Callithrix jacchus: one gene and its partner. The protein of the gene in region 1 purifies or fractionates together with the protein of each later gene. This does not show direct contact. Links are inferred from orthologs where the notes say so. Each region holds a gene or a part of one and is shown on either strand. Other genes may lie near its edges. The genes, in order: CARM1 and SMARCC1.

Region 1 (3,902 bases):
AACCCCATCTCTACTACAATACAACAACAAAAGTTAGCTGGGCATGGTGGTGCTCGCCTGTAGCCCCAGCTATTCGGGAGGCTGAGGCAGGGGAATTGAACCGGGAGGCAGAGGTTGCAGTGAGCTGAGATCGCAGCACTGCACTACAGCCTGGCCGCAGGGCGAGGCTTTGTTTTTTTAAAAAAGGAAGGAGGCGTAAATGAGGTTTCGGGGAGAGTTAAAGCTGGGGTGCTGGGAGGTGGCCCAAAAGGGATGGGGCCACCGAAAGTGAGGGGGGATGCAGAGAGACACAGGGGTTTGTGTTGCGGGAGAGGGTGCCAGCGCCGGGCTGGGCTGGACTTAGCATCTTTGGAGGAACGGCTCAGAGAGGAGGGGGTCAAGGATATCTTGTGCGAAAGGAGTTAAACTTTAAGGATGGGCCGGGCATGGTGGGAATCACGCCTGTAATCCAACACTTTGGAGGCGAAGGCTGGCGGATCACCTGAGGTCGGGATTCAACACCAGCCTGACCAACATGGTGAAACCCCGTCTTTATTTAAAAAAAAAATTTTTTTTAATAAAAAAAATAAAAAAACTTTAAGGATGAAGAAGGGAGTGTGGGGGGCAGAGATGATAAGGAAGGAAGGAGGGGCGGTCGAAAGACGGGAAGAGGTCCTTTCAACCAGGCTTAGATTGCGCTAGGAGGCGGAGGCCCTTCGGAAACGGTCGATGTCGGGGAGACCAGGAGGCGGGGCCACAGAGTGGGGGCGTGCCCCGAGTGCTGACCACGCCTCCCCCCCAAGCCCGTTCCCAGAGCGGGGCGCCTCACAAAGCGAGTCCGGTCGGGAGGGCGCGGGCAGGTACGGGGCATCGTAGCGGCCGGGCCCCGCCTCCCTGCGGGCTGCCTCACAAAGCCGGGCGGGCCCGGGGGGCGGAGCCCGGTGTCAGGGGCGTGTCCAGGTTGGGGCCGGGAAGCCGCATCACAAAGGGCGGCCGTTCATGCGGGGCGGGGTCCAGGGCGGGGTTCAGGGCGTGTCCGTGCGACGGAGCAAAGCCTCTCCGTCTCCGCGTCTCCGCGCCCCCGCGCCGCCTTACCCAACGCGGCCGTTAAGGAGGCGCGGGCTTGGGGGCGGGGCCCGGGTCTCCGACGGGCGTGTCCGCCAGCCCGAGCACCGCCCCGACGCACACTCCTGCCCCTCTGTTCCGGGCGGCGGAGCCACCTCACAAAGCGGCGACCGTTCTCGCGGGGCGGGGCGGTCCCGCTCCCTGGCGCGCGCTCGCGCGCTCGCTCGCTCCCCGCGCCCAGGGTGGCCGGCAGGGGGCGCAGCACCACGCGGCCGGGCTGCGGCAGCGGTGGCGGCGGCGGCAGCGAGGCGGAGCGTGGCCGGCAGGCGGCGCTGCCCGGCTCGGCCTCGGCCTCGGCCTGCACGGCGGCGGCGGCGGCGGCGGCGGCGGCGACCTGGGCCCGGGCGCAGCGGCGACGGCGGGGCCTGGAGCCGGATCTAAGATGGCAGCGGCGGCGACGGCGGCGGTGGGGCCGGGCGCGGGCGGCGCGGGGGTGGCGGGTCCGGGCGGCGCGGGGCCCTGCGCGGCCGTGTCCGTGTTCCCCGGCGCCCGCCTCCTCACCATCGGCGACGCGAACGGCGAGATCCAGCGGCACGCGGAACAGCAGGCGCTGCGCCTCGAGGTGCGCGCCGGCCCGGACGCGGCGGGCATCGCCCTCTACAGCCGTGAGTGCGGGGCCCCGGGGCGGGTGCAGGGCCGGGGTGCGCACGAGGCCGGCTCGGGGCGGGGGCCGGCAGGGAGGGGCCCGGGGCCCTGGCGTGGGGTCCCAGGGGCCGAGCCCGTGGCCGGCAGGGAGGGCGCGTGGAGGGCGGGTGCCAGAGATCAGACAGAGAAAAGAGGGCGTGCGTGGTGGCCGGAGGGGCGAGGTACCCGGAGTGAGCAGGGAAGCGGGAAATGGGGAGTGAGGGGCCTGAGATTTGAGAGGGGAGGGTGGGCAGGAAGTGGGGGGCCCTGAGTGGAAGGGGAATTTGAAGGAAGCTGGGCATGGGGGGCTTAAGCGTGGGGTAGGGAGGCTTGGGGTGCAGGAGAGGTGGGCGTCTCGGGGGCGGGCGTGGCCGCCTCTGCAGGGAGCAGGGTGGGGCGTGGGCGGCCCGGAATTCTCTCTGGGGACCCCTGGACAGCTCAGGACGGTCGGAAAGTGTTTGCTTGCCCGGGAGGACCGAGTTCCACCCCTGTGAAAGGCATGGTGTTTAGGACCCCCGAGAGGGAAACTTCGGGACCTGGGGAGAGGACCCATGCGTGGACGGTGGGAGCCGCAGGATGAGCTCCTGGTGGAAACGTGAACTGGCGGGGCCCCTTCCTGATGCCGGGCTTGGAAGTAAGAGGTAACACAGCTCTCTCCCATCCCTTCACCAGGGATGTGAGACGCTGGTTACATTTTCCGAAGCTGCTTTCAAAACTGACATTTCACGGGATGGTGGGGCGGGAGAAAATCACAAATGTTTTTGCCGCCCCCACCGCCCCCGGTCTTTGTAGTTCATTCTTCTTGTTATTCTTCTTATCTCTTCTCTTTGATTCCTGGTTCACATTTTGCTATTCTGTGTCATTTGGCTTTGTCTCTCTGGGCTTCTGGCACTGATGCCCTGGTGAGCCCCTCAGGAGGCCTCTAGCTGGCTTGGGTCCCGTGTGAATTTTTTGCCACTTTGGGAATGGGCCGATTAACGGAAATCCCGAGGAGCAGTCGGTTCACACTGGGTTTTCCCTGAACCTCGACTTTGAGAACGTGGACTAAAGGAGCCGTGTCTGCTGCACAAGGGTGCCGTCTCTTTGCTGGGGCAGAGCCTGGGTCTTCTTGAACCAGATGAGGAGAGGGGAAGGAGGATATTTCAGGGGGGCTTTCAGAGTTCAAGGCAGACACTCAGCTCAGTAGAACCCCAGATCACAAACAAAACCTATTCATTGGTGAAGAATTGGTAGATAGTTCTGTCCTGAACAGAACAAAGTGGGGGAGCATTTCTAAAACTAGGGTCCCGGAGCTTATCCTCAAAGGAGTTCCAGGAGAGCTGGCTATCTTTTTTTTGTTTTGTTTTTTGAGAAAGATTCTCACTCTGTCTCCCAGGCTGGAGTGCAATGGTGCTATCTCGGCTCACTGCAACCTCCACCTCCTGGGTTCAAGCAATTCTACCTCAGCCTCCTGAGTAGCTGGGACTACAGGCCTTCGCCACCATGCCCAGCTAATTTTTTGTATTTTTTTTTTTTTTTTTTTTTTAGTAGAGATGGGGTTTCACTGTGCTGGCCAGGCTGGTCTTGAACTTCTGACCTCATGATCGGCCCGCCTCAGCCTCCTAAAGTGCTGGGATTACAGGTGTGAGCCACTGTGCCCGGCCCTGGCTATGATTTTTAAATAAACCTTTAAGTTTTTTTTTTGGACCAGGCACCGTGGGTCAACACTTTGGGAGGCCAAGGTGGAAGGATCACTTGATGTCAGGAGTTTGAGACCTGGCTGACTAACATGGTGAAACCCTGTTGTCTCTACTAAAAATACAAAAATTAGCTGGCCAGGGAGGCACGTTCCTGTAGTCCCAGCTACTAGGGAGGCAGAGGCAGGAGAATCACCTGAACCTGGGAGGCAGAGGTTGCAGTGAGCTGAGCCATTGCACTCTAGCCTGGGAGACAGAGCCAGCCTCCGTCTCAAAAAACAAAACAAAACACAACTTTTAGAACAGTTTTAGTTTTTTTTTTGTTTTTTGTTTTTTTGAGATGGAGTTTCGCTCTTGTTACCCAGGCTGCAGTGCAATGGCGCGATCTCGGCTCACCGCAGCCTCCACCTCCCGGGTTCAGGCAATTCTCCTGCCTCAGCCTCCCGAGTAGCTGGGATTACAGGCGCGCGCCACCATGCCCAGCTAATTTTTGTATTT
Region 2 (3,902 bases), on another chromosome or scaffold:
CCGTCTCAGCCTCCCAAAATGCTCCGTGCCTGGCCAATCATATCTTGTTTTATTTATTTATTTATTTATTTATTAATTATTTGAGACGGAGTTTCGCTTTGCCCAGGCTGGAGTGCAATGGCGCGATCTCGGCTCATCATAATCTCTGCCTCCCGGATTCAAACGATTCTCCTGCCTCGGCCTCCCTAGTAGCTGGGATTACAGGAGCCCACAACGATGCCCGGCTAATTTTGTATTTTTAGTAGAGACGGGGTTTCCTCCATGTTGGTTAGGTTGCTCTCGAACTACTGACCTCAGCTGATCCGCCGGCCTCGGCCTCCCAAAGTGCTGGGAGTACAGGCTTGAGCCAGCGTGCCCAGCCTCATACCTTGTTAATAATTAATAATCATTCTGCTTCTATGTGGGCCATTCATTAATTCATCAAGTATTTACTGTACATCTTATTCCTTGTCCCAGGTGTTCAGGTTACACCTGTGAACAAGTCAAGATTAGGTTCTCATGTAATTTATGTGGAAGGTGAGAAACTAGAAACACCGGATCGTGGTGAGCGCTACGAGAAAATGTGTGGTTGAGAATAGTTATTCAAGATTTTAAGATCTGACGACTTTCTGAAGTGCTTTGAAGCAGTGAATTTGAATGCGTCTCTTAAGTGAAAATCAGAAGGGAAGACCTGTTGGAAGTCTCGGAAACAGCCGGTGCCAGGGCCCCTGGGGCAGGAATGAGCCGCTGTGGCTGGAGCCATGAGGGAGGGGAAGGTCTGTGAAGCCATTAAGTTCAGGCATGGGCATCCCAGATGGCTGTGCAAAATGCCGCGGGACCGCTCCGGGTGGAGGGTCTGCCGGAAAGCTGAGCCCAGCGCAGTCCCAGTCCGCGCGCAGGGTCCTCGGCCAGCACTGGATACCCTAGACAGGCTTTCCTCTCGGCACTTCTCGTACCAGGCCTTTTCTGTCCAGCAGAGCAGGCGATGACACAGAACCCACCTGCGGTTGCTGACCGCATCATGATTGGACGTCTGTAGCGAGAGAAGAGCAAGGAGCTCAAAGACCCGCGCTCAGTAAGCGAGAACGTCCACAGCCTACGGAGGCTGGCGGAAGAGGCGACTGGAAATCGTTGCAGGGCCGCAGAATAGCTGCGCATGCGTGTGGGCGGGCTCGCGACGGATACGGCGCCAGTCCGGAGATGGGGCGGGGCCGGGCGTCCGCGCCGGAAGGGGGTTGGCTGGGCGGGGCCGGCAGGCGGCGGTGGCGGCTACGCGCGCAAGGGCGCGCGGGAGCGAACGGGAAGCACCGCAAGGGTCGGGGTGGGCCAGGCGGTGAGGGCGACAGGCGGCGACGATGGCTGCAGTAGCGGGCGGCGGTGGCGGCCCAGGGGCAGCAGTAGGCTCCACGGGCTCGGGTGCTGCTGCGGTAGCAGCAGGCCTGGCCGTTTATCGGCGGAAGGACGGGGGCCCGGCCACCAAGTTTTGGGAGAGCCCGGAGACGGTGTCTCAGCTGGATTCAGTGCGGGTATGGCTGGGCAAGCACTACAAGAAGGTGGGTTCGCGCGCTCGCGGGGGCCGACAGACCACGCGACTGGGGCGGGAGGCGGCAGCTGGCCTCGCGGGCCCCGGGCCGCCCCTCCCCCTCCGCGCGCCACGAGGGACAACAAAGGCAGGCGCTGGGCCCGCCACGCCCCCGCCGTCCGCTTTCGGCGCCCGAGCGCCCGGGGCTTGACGGGTTCGTGGCTCGCTCCTCTGAACCCACGCATTCCTGGAGAAAGCCCTTGCTCATTCTCGTGTGCCAGAGCAGGTCGAGCTTAGCCACTGGGAGAGTGTGACTTTCTTTCGTCAGCTGCCTTAGGTGTCTGAACAATGATCCCTAAAGACTGAGCAAGCGTGGTAAAAGCTTTAAGTTTTGTTATAGAGAGTATTCAAAGCCTCGAGGGGGTTTGCTACCTGTTGTTGATTTCCTAAACAACTAAACTGGGATGACTATATTCGTTAATTACTAACAGGTTAATATGAATTATATAGGATGGATGTGAACTTCTATTAAACAACGGTTTTTACCTGATTATACTTCTGGTTCGGTGTGGTGTGAGAGTTAATGTTCATTGTACTTAAGGGGTTCTTCAGGGAGGCCTTTCCCGAGAACCCAGTTTTTATTAGAGCACTTTCCTTATGTTACCTTTTTTTCTTTGTAATGTTTACCAGATTTTGAAATCAATTATTCATTTACTTATTTCTCCTACCTTTAGAATGGAAGTTCCGCCGAGTCAGTAGTTTTCAAAGTTTTGACTTAATCCCTTGTTTATAAGAAATGCTTTTTTAAAAATTTCCCCTTTGTGTAAATATTCAGGAAGAGTCCCTTAAAGGGTGTAATGAAGCAGGTAGCCAAAAAGCCTCCTCCAGCCTCTGAAATTTTCCCAGCACCCTCTTCAGTTCTGTACTTTTCCCCATTGAGGATCATAGCACTAAAGCAAAGGCTTTGTTCACTGCAGTGTATCTGGGAACGTCGCTGATACTTACTGCCTTACCCTGAATAGCTGCTTAGTAAATATTTGTTGAATGAATGAAAAGATAAACTGGTTTAGGAACCTATTTATTTGGCCTCTAGAGCTCAGTGAAGCCTGTCGGTGTTGGGCAGTTATTAGGCATGGGCAGGGATCTTGGGTTCCTTTGGCATTACACGTGGTTTATTCAGAAGTGACCATTTCTGGCCAGGCACGGTTTGGGAGGCCGAGGTGGGCGGATTTTGAGGTCGGGAGTTCGAGACCAGCCTGGCCAACAAGGTGAAGCCCCGTCTTTCCAGAAAAAATGCTAAATTAGCTGGGTGTGGCGGCACATGCCTGTAGTCCCAGCGATTTGGGAAGCTGAGGAAGGAGAATCTCTTGAAGACAGAAGGCAGAGGCTGCAGTGAGCCGAGATGGCGCCATTGCACTCCAGCCTGGGTAATACAGTGAGACTCTGTCCCCCTCAAAAACAAGAACAAAAAAAAAAAAAAAAAAAAAGGAATGACCGACCCTCCCTCCCTCCCTCCTTTCTCTCTCCTCCCACGCTCCTTTCTCTTTCTCTTTTCTTTCTTGAAGGTTAGCTAGAAAAATTACATTTCTTATCTGAAGTTTGAGGAAGTGAGAGACAATAATTGTATTTTTAGGTGCTTAGATTTCCCCTCCCTCTGAAGTTATATTTAGACTGTACATTTTTAAGAATATTGCCCTTTCTTAAACAGTGATAAATTGGTCACTTTTTAAATGTGGGTAATAGAGCTTCTAGAAGTGGCTAATGGAATTGAATATGTTTTCCTTTTAGCCAATGCTTTGGGTCTTTTTTTTTTTTTTTCTCATCTAAGCTTTGGGTCTTTTATTTTTTTTAATTGAAGCACACAGGTGAATGTGCTTGGGTCTTAAATTCAGTGGAGATTTAACAAAGAAAAGTAATCTAGAGGCATATTCCTTTGAATATCAAGGAACAGAGTAGAAAAAGGCAAATTTCAGTAATTTCTACCTCTCCAGACTCTTCAGTGTGCATCAGTTTGGGACCAACTACAAGAAGCTTTAGCCATGGATAATCCTTCAGGCATTTGTTTGGGCGGGTAGGGAAGTGGCTACAAAGCAGTTTGAGGAATTGCTTGGCAGTATTGAGACCACCTGGGTAATGTTGACTCACTGTACCTGAGACTTTATAGACAAAGTTACCTTTGACCTCTCTGAACTTGTAAAGCCAGAGAGTATTTTTAGGGTCTACTCAGATTCAGAATCATGTATACCTTAGGCTTGACAGCCAGAATCTTTTCAGTCTCTGGGTGTTACTGTTAAAGTGGTGAAAATACCATCAGAAGGTTCTTTGATTCTTTTCTACACAATGCATTTCTATTTGGTTAAAAACCAAAAGATTGGTTCTATTGGATTTAATACTGCTGCAT

Evidence for each region.
Region 2: the proteins of CARM1 (region 1) and SMARCC1 purify together in Homo sapiens (affinity purification with western blotting; 3 studies listed by BioGRID and IntAct, with this or other methods). This does not show direct contact. The link is inferred for Callithrix jacchus from reciprocal best matches to the Homo sapiens genes CARM1 and SMARCC1.

The regions. Positions count from the first base shown.
Region 1 is NC_133523.1:10,039,669-10,043,570, forward strand, and holds the start of CARM1 (histone-arginine methyltransferase CARM1), read left to right. Parts: upstream 1-1,375; 5' UTR 1,376-1,486; coding exon 1,487-1,709; intron 1,710-2,149; exon of another isoform or gene 2,150-2,347; coding exon of another isoform or gene 2,348-2,369; intron 2,370-3,902. UniProt on the Homo sapiens protein: Methylates (mono- and asymmetric dimethylation) the guanidino nitrogens of arginyl residues in several proteins involved in DNA packaging, transcription regulation, pre-mRNA splicing, and mRNA stability.
Region 2 is NC_133516.1:30,460,924-30,464,825, reverse strand, and holds the start of SMARCC1 (SWI/SNF complex subunit SMARCC1), read left to right. Parts: upstream 1-1,233; 5' UTR 1,234-1,334; coding exon 1,335-1,532; intron 1,533-1,682; exon of another isoform or gene 1,683-1,876; intron 1,877-3,902. UniProt on the Homo sapiens protein: Involved in transcriptional activation and repression of select genes by chromatin remodeling (alteration of DNA-nucleosome topology).